2 linked regions of the Saccharomyces cerevisiae S288C genome follow. Each later gene encodes a partner of the first gene's protein in a complex. Each region holds a gene or a part of one and is shown in the gene's direction. Other genes may lie near its edges.

What was found.
Region 2: the proteins of RPB7 (region 1) and RPB4 are in contact, whole or in part, in a crystal structure (PDB 5IP7), measured with the Saccharomyces cerevisiae proteins. Residues at the interface, in NP_010692.3 of Saccharomyces cerevisiae: Met1 (codon at 3,853), Phe2 (codon at 3,856), Phe3 (codon at 3,859), Ile4 (codon at 3,862), Lys5 (codon at 3,865), Asp6 (codon at 3,868), Leu7 (codon at 3,871), Ser8 (codon at 3,874), Leu9 (codon at 3,877), Asn10 (codon at 3,880), Arg21 (codon at 3,913), Gln24 (codon at 3,922), Leu31 (codon at 3,943), Glu33 (codon at 3,949), Val34 (codon at 3,952), Glu35 (codon at 3,955), Gly36 (codon at 3,958), Ser37 (codon at 3,961), Thr39 (codon at 3,967), Lys41 (codon at 3,973), Phe42 (codon at 3,976), Tyr44 (codon at 3,982), Leu46 (codon at 3,988), Cys47 (codon at 3,991), Val48 (codon at 3,994), Leu49 (codon at 3,997), Tyr51 (codon at 4,003), Asp52 (codon at 4,006), Lys73 (codon at 4,069), Tyr74 (codon at 4,072); in NP_012395.1 of Saccharomyces cerevisiae: Val3 (codon at 4,296), Ser4 (codon at 4,299), Thr5 (codon at 4,302), Ser6 (codon at 4,305), Thr7 (codon at 4,308), Phe8 (codon at 4,311), Gln9 (codon at 4,314), Glu22 (codon at 4,353), Asn23 (codon at 4,356), Ala24 (codon at 4,359), Ala25 (codon at 4,362), Leu29 (codon at 4,374), Gly30 (codon at 4,377), Glu32 (codon at 4,383), Phe33 (codon at 4,386), Gln37 (codon at 4,398), Ile38 (codon at 4,401), Asn39 (codon at 4,404), His40 (codon at 4,407), Glu45 (codon at 4,422), Leu47 (codon at 4,428), Ile48 (codon at 4,431), Ala49 (codon at 4,434), Leu50 (codon at 4,437), Leu52 (codon at 4,443), Ala55 (codon at 4,452), Val58 (codon at 4,461), Ile59 (codon at 4,464), Ala62 (codon at 4,473), Leu63 (codon at 4,476).

The regions. Positions count from the first base shown.
Region 1 is NC_001136.10:1,273,781-1,281,021, reverse strand, and holds RPB7 (DNA-directed RNA polymerase II subunit RPB7), read left to right. Parts: upstream 1-3,852; coding exon 3,853-4,368; downstream 4,369-7,241. Other genes in the region: ATP-binding cassette multidrug transporter PDR15, read right to left, coding at 1-1,812; mitochondrial 54S ribosomal protein uL23m MRP20, read right to left, coding at 2,585-3,376; DIT1 (Dit1p), read right to left, coding at 4,810-6,420. UniProt on the Saccharomyces cerevisiae protein: DNA-dependent RNA polymerase catalyzes the transcription of DNA into RNA using the four ribonucleoside triphosphates as substrates. Component of RNA polymerase II which synthesizes mRNA precursors and many functional non-coding RNAs.
Region 2 is NC_001142.9:146,672-152,240, forward strand, and holds RPB4 (DNA-directed RNA polymerase II subunit RPB4), read left to right. Parts: upstream 1-4,289; coding exon 4,290-4,955; downstream 4,956-5,569. Other genes in the region: ROQ1 (Roq1p), read left to right, coding at 1-2; protein transporter TIM17, read left to right, coding at 430-906; IRC9 (Irc9p), read right to left, coding at 1,148-1,540; serine/threonine protein kinase YAK1, read right to left, coding at 1,296-3,719; mannosyltransferase YUR1, read right to left, coding at 5,042-5,569. UniProt on the Saccharomyces cerevisiae protein: DNA-dependent RNA polymerase catalyzes the transcription of DNA into RNA using the four ribonucleoside triphosphates as substrates. Component of RNA polymerase II which synthesizes mRNA precursors and many functional non-coding RNAs.

The DNA.
Region 1 (7,241 bases):
ATACAAGGAATAAGTTCTGTGTTTTTCAGTTATAGGTCTTGTTTCATACAAACTAAAGATTTCCAAAAGACACGAAAATGCATTAAATAAAATAGCAAAAAACATTGCAGCACCACGGAAATAGAAAGTGGAAGTATCGTTTTTCTTCATCACTTTATAAAACATAGAACCCAAGATGAAAGCCATGACAGAGTTACCGATGACTTGCCACAAAGTAACACTAGCACTTTGCTTCATTCTCCAGAAATTTCTAATCAACAAGTATTTGACTTGCATTCCGTAGTTGACAACGTATGGAGAGGAAGGTGGTGCCCTTTTTGCCTGTTTAGCGTGGTGAGCATCCCTGATAATATTGCGTGCTTCATCTGTGTTTTTCTCTAATGTAGAGTCTATATCCTTGATTAAATTTTTGTAGCTTTCTGATTGTAGCCAATATTCGGCCATATCCTTTGGCGTTTGAGGCACTCTAGTACCTTTTTCGATAAATTCTTTGCTAATAATTCTTTCAGTAGGACTTGTAATTGAAGTTAAAAAATCTGCAGTGGTCTGTCTGGGAGGACAATAGTAGCCCATGTCTTGGAAATATTTCTTTGCATCCTTAGCGGGCCCAAAATAAAGCTGGTAACCATCATCCAGGACACAGACCTTATCAAAAAGATCATAAGCATCCTGAGAACATTGATAGATGGCCACAGTAGCCGCGGTCTTTCCAATGTCAGCCTGGGTTTTTAAAGCACGGATGAATTCTAAAGCAGTAGCAGAGTCCAAACCTCTGGTGGCATTATCCCAACATTGAAATCTGGCGCCGCAGATTGCGACTTCCGCAATGGATACACGCTTTCTTTCACCACCAGAAACACCTCTGACTAGATCGTTTCCGACCTTGGTGTCCCTTGTATGCGAAAGACCATATGTGGCCATTGCAACTTCTGTCACGTGATTGGCGTACGCTTCTCTATCAACACCCTTGATACGATTTTGCGGCGTTTTCATCCTTGCCACGGTGAAAAGCGTCTGGTACACGGTAAGATGCGGTAAATGAATATCTGATTCCGCATTGTAAACGACTTCACCACGGTAATGTTTCCTGATATCCGAGCTTGACAAACCGTTGTAAGAGACAATGGAGTCTTTTGCGATCTTGAACCCGTGCGAATTAGAAGATATGGATTTTAGCAGCGTAGTACAACCTGACCCTGGTCTCCCAAGAACAACCAACAGTTCACCGGGATTAAGACAACCATCCATGGGTTTCAGGATCTGAAAAGTGTCCTCTTCTTTACTGGGCTTCAGTAATCTGAGCCCTTTCGTAAGCAGCTTTGGTACGATGTTAGCGAAAGTTGACTGGTATGACACATCGGCGGAGTCTCCGGAGGCGCTTAGATTCTTCCATACACAACCGAGTGAGTATGGTTTATAGAAATCCGGGTCCGAAGTACAAATATTTGCCATGTTCTGTACCCACGCCGTACTGGAGAATTGATCACTGTTAGGGTCCAATTTGGGATTGTATCCCGGGGTGTCCGGGTTAGTGAACACCGGGTTCACACCTTCCATGTCCGTAGAAAATACGGATCTCGAGTCCGCATTGTGCGCATTATGGTTGCTGGAAGAGCTATTGTTTGAGTTAGCAGTGTATAGTAAACTCTGCGATGTGAGTGTTCTAGCCAACTCATGCACCCTTTCCGCGGCTTCGCTGTCGAAACCGCGGTATGGATGCTGTCCAATGGATTGGGCGGCAGAGTTCGAGCTCGAGCTTGAGCTCGAGCTCCGCGAATTTCGTTCCTCTACGTCTCTGATATCTGATGACATAGGTTTTTGATAATTATAAGTGTGTTTGCTTGTGTGTGTGTGTGTTTATATATTCGTATAGTAACTGTTATACGCTAATAGTATTAGTGATGTGATGTTCTTAACAGTAGTATACTTGAATACTGCATATGACGTATCTACAACAAGACTAGCAAATCTCTTTACAGCAACATAAGAAGGCAATTTGGTCCAGGTAGAGAGCTCCTGCTTATATATTCCTCAGATGTACATGCTCCCTTTCCGATCCCTACTACCAAAGTCTCGCACAGCAGTAGCAGTATTCTTTTCCCTCATCGTCTTACCATCGTGCCATACCTTAACCCCGGCACCGTGCGTTGCAGATCCGCCCCTCGCGGACCCGCTCGAGACTCTCCGCGGAACGAGCATGCGGACGGCTCCGCGCCACTGTCTCCGCAGGCATCCGTGCATGGCATCCCGCGGAAGCGACCCTGAAAATAATAAGTAAAGCAACCAATGTTCTTGCTCTTTGCGCGAACAAAAATAAAAAAAGAACAGAAATACAGGCCACCTTCCAGGGCAGGGGAAGGGGATGCCATCATCATTCTTTTCTTCCGTAAGGCATGTTCTACAGCCACTTCATATATTTTTGCGTTTGTTGCTCGGAAAAAGTAATGTTCTTAATTTTCTTTCTTTTTTTTTTTTTCTGTTTAGAGATTATGTAGTTTGCTCCGTATATACAAGTGTGAGGGGTGCAAGATGCTTATCTGGGTATTTGCGTGTGGGTTAACGAAGGGGTGGAATGGGAAACCTTCTAATGTAGATCTTCTATGTACCTGTTCAGGGCAATTAGTTTATCTGCGCGCTGCAGTTCGGCGGCGTGACGCTCTCGCTTATTGTCTATCTCTCGTTTTAAGAAGCGAGGTATAAAAGGCTGGGCCACCCGTTCGTAAGGCCCCACGACTCCGTCGAATGCTGTGCCGGGTTTGTTGGCGTCTGAGCCCAAGCAGTTAAGTCTTTCTTCACGGTACTTTTCCATGTTGTCAGGCGTGGTGCTGTCCCAGAAGGAGTTTTCGTCCGGACGGGGTTCTTCGGGCCAAATGAAGGGTTCTTCCATCTCGATAGTCATTTTCTTGATCTGCGGTTCTCTAAACCGCGTCGTCTGTAGGTTCATACGGTTAAACTTCCCATGAAGCAGCTGCGTCGTAATGTTCATTGCTCTTAAGCCGTAGATATGATAAAGATAGTCTCTGAGATCCAGTTTGTTGAACGATTTTGGGACGATGAATTTTGCTTGATACGGTGTGTGCTTCGCGTTGGGCCTCAAGAGGATGATCCTGGCCTTGGGAAAGTAGACTTTGTTACCTCCAACTTTGAAATGCTCCTTTCCCTGCTCTATGCCCGCCTTTGTCCACTTATAAATCTTCTCGCTTACGTTTATATCTACTTCGCGATCGCTGCCGCTTTTGTCGAGTATTTTGGAGGAACTCTCCACCACTGAGGCTAGTGATCTTATTGGAACCTGCTCTGGCTTGCAACTTCCTACTGCAAGTGTTTTTTGCAAAGGATACAACATATTCTTCGTTCCAACCGTCAATCGTGGCATATTCTGTGTTGGTGTTGCGTACTTTTTATTTTTATTTTATTTTTTTTTCTGTTGGAGCCTGCTAATCAAAGCACATTATTTGTTAGTAGCGTTACGTTCTCCACAAGAAATGTATGTACATTTCAAGTTCTAATACCATCGTTTTCCCTTTTTCATCGAGAAAATTCGTATAACGCGATTACGTATTAAGTGATCTTCTGTGGGTTTCAACGGCTATTTTGAAAAATACAAGGAAAATAAATGCGGTATTCCTATATCCCAGTGAAAATGCCAATAACGTAGACAAGCTCACTTCGTCGATTTATTCTCTAACATTGGGTCGATCAGGTCTGTCCACCTATCTCTTCTCCCAGAATATCATAGCCTTTCTTTTTCCGTTTCTCCTCCTACACCATTCTCCTTTGCGATTAGACAGTGGGAAAGTCCAAGAATAGATTCACATTTCAACCACTGTATAAATAACTCAATTTCTGAGAATGTTTTTTATTAAAGACCTTTCGCTTAATATTACCCTTCATCCGTCCTTTTTCGGTCCTCGAATGAAGCAATATCTAAAGACAAAACTATTGGAAGAGGTTGAAGGTTCGTGTACGGGTAAATTCGGATATATTCTTTGTGTCCTAGACTATGATAATATAGATATTCAACGTGGGAGAATATTGCCCACAGATGGGTCCGCCGAGTTCAACGTGAAATATAGAGCTGTAGTTTTCAAACCATTTAAAGGGGAAGTAGTGGACGGCACAGTCGTTTCATGTTCTCAGCACGGGTTCGAAGTGCAAGTAGGTCCAATGAAAGTATTTGTGACAAAGCATCTGATGCCTCAAGATTTAACCTTTAATGCGGGTTCAAACCCACCATCATACCAAAGTTCCGAGGATGTCATCACCATAAAAAGTAGAATTAGAGTTAAAATTGAAGGTTGTATCAGTCAAGTGAGTTCTATTCACGCAATCGGTAGTATCAAAGAAGATTATTTGGGTGCTATTTAATCACTTGTTACTCCGCAACGCTTTTCTGAACGCCCGCCTTCGCCTTTCATTATCATTCTCATCCCAAAAGAACTGTGCATGTTATTTGCAATACTTCATATACGCTCTGTATTATTAATAGTATCATTAATTACGTCAATTGAAATTCAAAATATCATCTTTGACAGTAACATCTATCCTCTTAGACAACTAGGGCCATTGCAGTGTCTCGAAACCATTAATATCACTGAAAAGATGAAAAGAAAGGCAAATATATATTGATCACTAATTTTCTAAGCTAAAGAATCTATTCCCCCTCTGTTAAATGGAATTGTGTGAAATAAAATATTATAAAATCAGAACTTTGGGGGGGAAACATAAAAAAATGAGAAAAAGAAAACGAACTAACTAATGTTTAAGTAAAAGAACAAAAAGGTAGACCAATGTAGCGCTCTTACTTTATTAAGAGATTTTCTTGATAACGAAATGTCCTCCTTCTCCAATATCGAAACGAGTATCTTTCCATACACCATCATACATACCCTTTTCGAGAGCCTCCTTGACTACTTTTGATTTTGTCAAAAAGTATTTCTCCTTTTCATCCTCAACCTTCACGACACAATTATGCCAAGGTGTGGGAATATGTAAAAAATCTTCAAATTTGGGTTCATCAAGGTCTTCTAACGAACTAACAATAGAACACTGTTCGTTGGAGATTACTTTTATACCAAATTTGGGCCCGCTGTTAGTGTGCGCATGAATAGAAATTCTCAAATGATGAGGGAATATCAATTCCACTAAGTTCGAATACGCGTCATTTCTCTTAATCATGTTAAAAGCGATCATTGAAATGATTTTCTTGAATTTTTTTCTGGAATAACTTTGGAAATGTTCCAGTAGAGATAAATCTTCCATCATAAAACGTGAAAAGCCCCTATACAGATGCAATCTTGGATGTCCTTCTATTGCAATCTGCTTTCTCAAACGACCTGCATCTGTATCACAGCCTTTCATCAAAATCTGTCTCGACAAATCGGACTTAGGACAGATTTGAGTTCCTGTGTAGTGTGCAACTTCAACATCACTAACCCACTTTGGATCGAAAACTTTACTAGCTGCACCGCTAAAAAATAAATCGTTCAATCCACAAAAGCCAATGGCGTCAACACCAGGTATAGCCACTCTTTTATACAGTTCGTGCAATTTGGTCGTGTAAGTACTCACGACGTCATCATCGACCCCAATACAATCGGAGAAAACATGGCCATCACTAACTATCCAAATTTTCATACCCGGTGGATATATCTTGACAAGGTCTTGTGTGGCTTTTATTAATCTTTTCAAAGCGAGTTCTTCGCCTTTGTCAGGAACGGAACCGTACACTTTTTGCTCATTAGATGACTTACATGGAAACGCTGGCAAGATGCATTCAATTCTCAAATATCGATCGGTAAAATATCTTGAACGTTCAATAAAATAATCACGGCCACCAAAATTCCATTGATCATTAACTATTGTGTTTTTCAAATTTTTCTCAAAAAAATCTGCAAATAATTCGTGATACTTAACTTCTTTGGTTACAATTGGATGTTCACTTAGAGATAATTGAGATTGGTCTAAAATATGATATACGAACCAGTTATTGAAAGAATTTTCATTCTCAACTGTTGTAACACACCCACGAATCTGGCGTTCGTCATCGCGTGTATATTCAGAAATCTTTATTGCCACTCCTAAATTATTGGTAAATTTATTTGCTAAAGAAGCTGGCAAAATTCTTTCAGAAACCCGTCCACTTACTTCGGATTCAGAAAAGTCCAGATTGTGAATAGTGTTGATAAAGTCGAGCCATTGGTCTCCAAATTTACAATTCTGTTTTTCCTCTAAAGAGTAAAAATCGTCACATTTGTCGCTTCTGCAATACAGGGCCAGAAATTTACTATATGTAGACAAATCGGCCCCATTATGGGGAATATCAATATCTTTCAACGTATCAGTCGATGAAGAAAATGAAGAGGCAGGTGGTGATATTGACTGCTCGGAGCTTGAGGGCAAGTTGCTAGTAAATGTCATTTTTGTTAATGTCTCGACAAAGCTTTACCGAATTAGGATATTAACAAATTGTTTATTTAGTCAAGACTTTGCGGAGGAGCACAATTTATGTGAAAATTTATTTCAATATTTATACATCATTTTTGATTCTGAACCTATTTTCAGAAATTGTTTTACAACATCGTAGGGCAGGCACTATGCCCTTGCAAATTTTATGATATACTGTCCACTGAAAGCAATGCAATCAAAATTCAAATAAACTCCTGAGGGGCCAATAATATAAGGATTTTTAGCACGCGACGTCTGGGATTGAGTGCCATGTATGTAAAGACGAGCAATTACTTTATGTTCCCTTATTTGTGAGGGGTTCCTGGTTTGCTTTTTTCGATCAATTCTCCTGATATTATTGAGTAAATTAGACAAATTGTTAGGAAACAACAAATTCCGATGCTTACTTACCCCTTAAATTTTCTCATTGCTCTTCATTGAGGTTGCATACCTCACCATATTTGTCATAGAAGGTCCCTTAAGGCGCCTTTTTATTTTTTCTTGGCAAGAGAACCCTTTTATTTATGGCCAGACGCGCGTCGCAAAAAAAGGTAAACATCAATAATTTTCCTTCCAGGGACTCTCAATAAAAAGACTGTAACTTGTATTATCAAATTGAGAAGCAATTACGTATTCCACCCCTCATTACTTCCCCGATACAATTTATTTTCACTTCTTTCGATGAATGCAGTGATTTCTATCTTTCCCGAAAATTACAAGCCACGGACCACAAGAGGAATGACTGGTCATCCTGATGCGAATAGTATATTAGGTAGTGCAAAAAAATACATTAA
Region 2 (5,569 bases), on another chromosome or scaffold:
GAACTCCAGCATTATAAAGCATATCTAACAATACCATTCGGGTTATACTGAATAGCCCACGCACGGGTTCGGGGTTGTAACGATTATATGCATTTCATAACATGCCACTGTCAGTGGCGCCACGGAAGGATAGCGGGACTTTATCAAATCATTAATTTCTGTGCATAAAGTGTATAGTATATTCATATAGATATGTATATATATCATTGAATACAGAAATCTTCGGGTGTATACAACGAACATTCATCGGACGCCTTTTTTACTGCTATTGTTCAACAAAGTGGGTAACCCGGCATTCTTGCGCCAAAGTTTCCATTTTTATGCCAAATCCAGAGGATAAAAGCACTATTCTCATCAAAAGATGGAAAAGCTGTGAAAGAGTCAAGTTCAGAAGAAAGCGTTAAGAAAAATAGAGTACACGGGAGCGTTATGTCAGCCGATCATTCGAGAGATCCATGTCCTATAGTCATACTAAATGATTTCGGTGGTGCTTTTGCCATGGGTGCCATTGGTGGTGTTGTTTGGCATGGGATTAAAGGTTTTAGAAATTCGCCATTAGGTGAGCGTGGTTCAGGAGCTATGAGCGCCATTAAAGCGCGTGCTCCCGTACTGGGTGGTAATTTTGGTGTGTGGGGTGGTTTATTTTCGACTTTTGATTGCGCTGTGAAGGCCGTTAGAAAGAGAGAGGACCCATGGAATGCTATCATTGCAGGGTTTTTCACTGGTGGCGCTTTAGCTGTAAGAGGTGGTTGGAGGCATACAAGGAACAGTTCGATCACGTGTGCTTGTTTGTTGGGTGTGATTGAAGGTGTGGGACTAATGTTTCAAAGATATGCTGCTTGGCAAGCCAAACCTATGGCTCCTCCTTTGCCCGAAGCACCTTCCTCTCAACCTCTGCAAGCTTAGGCATGTAGACATTATATGAGCCATTTTTTCATCGTTGTTGGAAGTACCCTTATTCGGCATGTTTTTTGTTACATAAATGACGTATCGCACTAGCCTCCTTTACGTTTTTACTTTATTTCAGCCTTTTATTTCAAGATTACCAACCATTTCTCTCAACCATGTACATATTATATATTGAAAAAGTACCATACTTCATCTCTGAAGAGAAAATATCAACAAGCCAAAAGCTAGTGCAGAAACTTTATAATGTTACTTTATTAATTGTAATGACTATACGTATAAGGAAAATTAAGAAAAGGCAAAATTCATATTTATTTAGTATATCATTATGGCACCAAGCCGTAATAAAATGAAATGGGTAGTTAAGAAAAGTCAGACAAAATAACGATTTATTCTTCGACAATGTGAAGTTTATTGAACGCGCTTGTTGGCCCTTCTTGAACAGAATGAGTAACAGCAAAATTATTGGAGATGTCGCCAGATGTATTCTCCTTCCTTTTACTGATAGCACCAATGTCGACGCTATCAGCACCACCAGTGGCAGAGCTAGGATTATAGACATAGTTGTGGCCTGCATTGTTACTAGAGTCGTTCGCACTTCCATATTCACTTTGCTGGCCTTTTGCATCGTCATGTTTTTCTGAAGGACCCGGTAAAGACGATCCTGGAGGAAACCACTCACCTGTAAACTCCTGCTTTGTTATGAAGGGGTGTAGCATAGCTTGTTGTGGTGTCCATCTTTCTAACGGGTTCAAATTTAGCACACCGCCTAAAAAGTGGATCAAACACTCCCTATTCTGCATTTCTTGGTCGATAAGTTCTTGGGAGTTCTGTATGCTTTTAGGATACCTGTAGTTTCTAATAATATCTGGTAACTTTCTCCACTTAAAATATTGTTTACTGGGCTTTTCCACTATATTGTATTCTCTGCAAAACTCTTCAATAGTTTTCATACGATGCTTTTGTGTAGAAGAAGAACTTTCTTCTGGTGCCAATTTCTTCATAAATTTTCCAGAGTTTTTACCCATATCTATCATCCACGATGGAGGATATCCAAGCGTGTCTATTATTCTTGTTAATTGGTTATATTCAGAAGCGCCTGGGAAGATCGGTATACCCAAAAATAATTCAGCAACAATACAACCTAACGACCACATGTCAATACTGGTTGAATACGGTATACCCAGTATAATTTCAGGAGCACGATAAAACCTGGACTGGATGTATGTATAAACGGTTCTTGCCTCTTCGCAAGATGAGCCAAAATCAATAATTTTCAATTCCGGCTTATCAGGTGCGCAGAGCAAGATATTCTCTGGCTTCAGATCGCAATGAATCAGTTTGCTTTCCTTCAAAACGCATAACGAATCCAGTATTTGAGTGGTGAATGTTCTGATAAGTTGTATAGAGAGCCCATGAAATTTGTTTTGTTTTAATAATTCGTACAAATTATTGCTTAGTAATTCAAACACTAAACATAAGTGGTTCTTGTGGACAAAGGAGTCATACATCCTTAAAAAATGATGTTTATTAGTAGGGTCTATCTTTTGATTCAGTAGCTCTAAAATTTTAGCCTCCGTTATACTTTGAGTCAAATATTCTGTCCTCGATTTAACCACTTTTACAGCCAATATCTCTTTCGTCAGCAAATTTTGACATTTGACCACTTGACCAAATGTACCTTGACCCAAAATGTCTAGCACAAGGTACTTTCTGTTCTGCTCTACACCCAAAACGTCATTTACATAAAGAATATAGTCACTGTTTATGTTGTCGAATCCGTTGTTACATTTCCCTTCACTGGGCTTCGTAAGTACTCTCTTGGGGTTTTTGGACGTTTGGTAGGTAAATTCTGGAGAACATAAAGAATATGTGGTAATCAGGCTTTTCGTGACACTGACTAGGGGAGATATCGTCTTGGAATTGAGCGACGCACGTCTAAACTTTGGAGTAGCATTTAAGACAGGTTGAAGATCGTTTTTAGAGTTGCAAAGTTGCATCTGAGGAATGGACAATTTCTGACCTTGTACTTCATCTCTTCGTAACTGCTTGAAAGGGGGTTGTAGTGGGGGACTTGTACTAGGAGGATATGCGCTAAGCCTCCTGTAAGGTGACATGACTGGTATGGAGTTTGTTCCTTGATTAGTATTTGAATTTAGGGAAGAAAAATTGGACGAATAATTAGTTGCAGCCAGACTCTGCCTTCTTTGGAAATCTTGACGATCATAAAGGGAGGGAACAAATCTGGATCCAAATTGGGAAGGATGGATAGCGCCCTGCTGGTATACTTGCTGTTGTTGTTGTTGATAGCCAGAAGGATACTGGCCACTGCTATTTCCTGCCAAACTCGTATTAGAGCTGGTGTAAGCGGGATAACTATCGTACTGGAAAGGATTTGGGGCAGGTGCCCTGGCTGGAGGTACAACGAGACTAGATTTACGTCGTCTGTACGCATCTAGACTTTCGTTACTGTTTAAGTCATCGTATTGAGGGGGATACACCAGGTTTTGTTGAGAATTAGTTACTTTTTCCTCATTCCAAGGGTTAACAAAGCAAAATTGAGAATTCTGTTGTTGTTGTTGTTGCTGCTGCTGCTGCTGCTGGTGATGATTCTGATGCTGCTGCTGTGGAGACCTTTGAGAGCCTTGATTTACGTACGATGGATTCCATATACCTCTCCCCATATGGCTATTGTCTGGGCTTGCTCTACCCGAGCCCATACTAGCATCACTGTGGGTCACAAGGGTCGGGCTCAAGGAGTTATTCATGTTGCTATTGGAGCTGGACGAGTCGTTATTATTGGATGAGTTCATGATTGCTCAAATTAGCATGTGAAAAAAAGATAACGAAATTATGTTCCCTTGCACAATGGCTGTTGCTCTTCACCAAAATTCTTCTTTCGATATATTCCCAAATCTAATAGTGAGAAATTTGTGTAATACCCCCAGTAATGGCCCACCAATTGTTTCCTTATATCTGTTTAGCATTGCGACTCATTCATTGTTCAGCCCAGAAGGGGTAAATCTGAGGAGGGGGCATTGCTTGCAATGGTTCAGAAGGGGCGGTTAGGGTTAATAAAGCCATCGCGCTATTTTGATATTTTTATTAGGCCTTTTATATTTTTTTTAGTTTTTTTCTCCAAATCCTAAATCCTTTTTAGGTGTCATTTACGTGCAACGCGACAATAGTGATATTGTCATTCTTCAAACTTTTTGCAAGGTAGCTATTAAACATACCTACACACATACGTACATGCTTAACGGTGAGACAAAAGTAAAGAAAGAGACTTGAATGGGTTGCTGCATCTTAATAAGTTGAGTTTGAGGGCGAAAGTACACAAATATTCATCCGTATTGAAAATATATATATAAGAATATAGAAAAATGAATGTTTCTACATCAACCTTTCAAACAAGACGGAGAAGATTGAAGAAAGTGGAGGAAGAAGAAAATGCAGCTACTCTACAACTGGGCCAGGAATTCCAGCTGAAACAGATAAATCATCAGGGTGAAGAGGAGGAATTGATTGCCTTGAACCTAAGTGAAGCCAGGTTAGTAATCAAAGAAGCTCTTGTAGAACGTAGGAGAGCATTTAAAAGATCGCAAAAAAAACACAAGAAGAAGCATTTGAAGCACGAAAACGCCAATGATGAAACTACGGCAGTAGAGGATGAAGATGATGATCTGGATGAAGATGACGTCAACGCTGATGATGATGATTTTATGCATTCTGAAACTAGGGAGAAGGAGTTGGAGTCTATCGACGTTCTGTTAGAACAGACAACGGGAGGAAATAATAAAGATTTGAAAAATACCATGCAGTATTTAACAAATTTCTCCCGATTTAGAGACCAAGAAACCGTCGGGGCAGTTATACAGCTTCTGAAAAGCACTGGGTTACATCCTTTTGAAGTGGCGCAACTAGGTTCTTTGGCCTGTGACACAGCTGATGAAGCAAAGACTTTAATTCCAAGCTTAAACAATAAAATATCAGACGATGAGTTGGAAAGGATACTAAAGGAATTGTCAAACCTAGAAACACTCTATTAATAACTGTATGTATACGTGTGTGTAACTAGTAATGAATTTTCACCCTGTGGAAGTTAGGCCTATTTAACAGGAAAAAGGACAGGATTTTAAATCTCGTCTTGCTCTTCTTTTAAGAAATATTTGCCGCTACCGTTTTTCCACCATCTCATCAAACAACTATGTGGGGTTATATCTATGACACTTTCATCATCGCTTTTGCATCTACACCTCTGATCGAGCCTAACAGCGTAAGATGCTGGACAGGTGCCAAACGGTGAGTGAAAATAGCCAAGTTCGTCAAAATGAATGATTTCGTCAGGTCTCAGCAGTAGGGAGACACCAATTGAATGTACAGGTGCGTCACCCCACCTTTCGTAGTAAAATCCGCCCTTGGCATCTAAAGTTTCAAAAAAATGCTTATATTCGTCACTTCTGAAGAAATTCAAGTCGCCAATCTCAAAATTCGACCAAAAATGGCACAAATTGTAGTCAGAGTTTGCTTCAACAACGGGATAATGCTTACCAACTAGCCCTGAATCGGTCAAAAATGCATAGGCACTGTCCTCTTTACGTAAAATGGTCTCTTCGCTGGCCACTAAATACTCCTCTACCGCGTCCCATAAGGTTGGTATGGT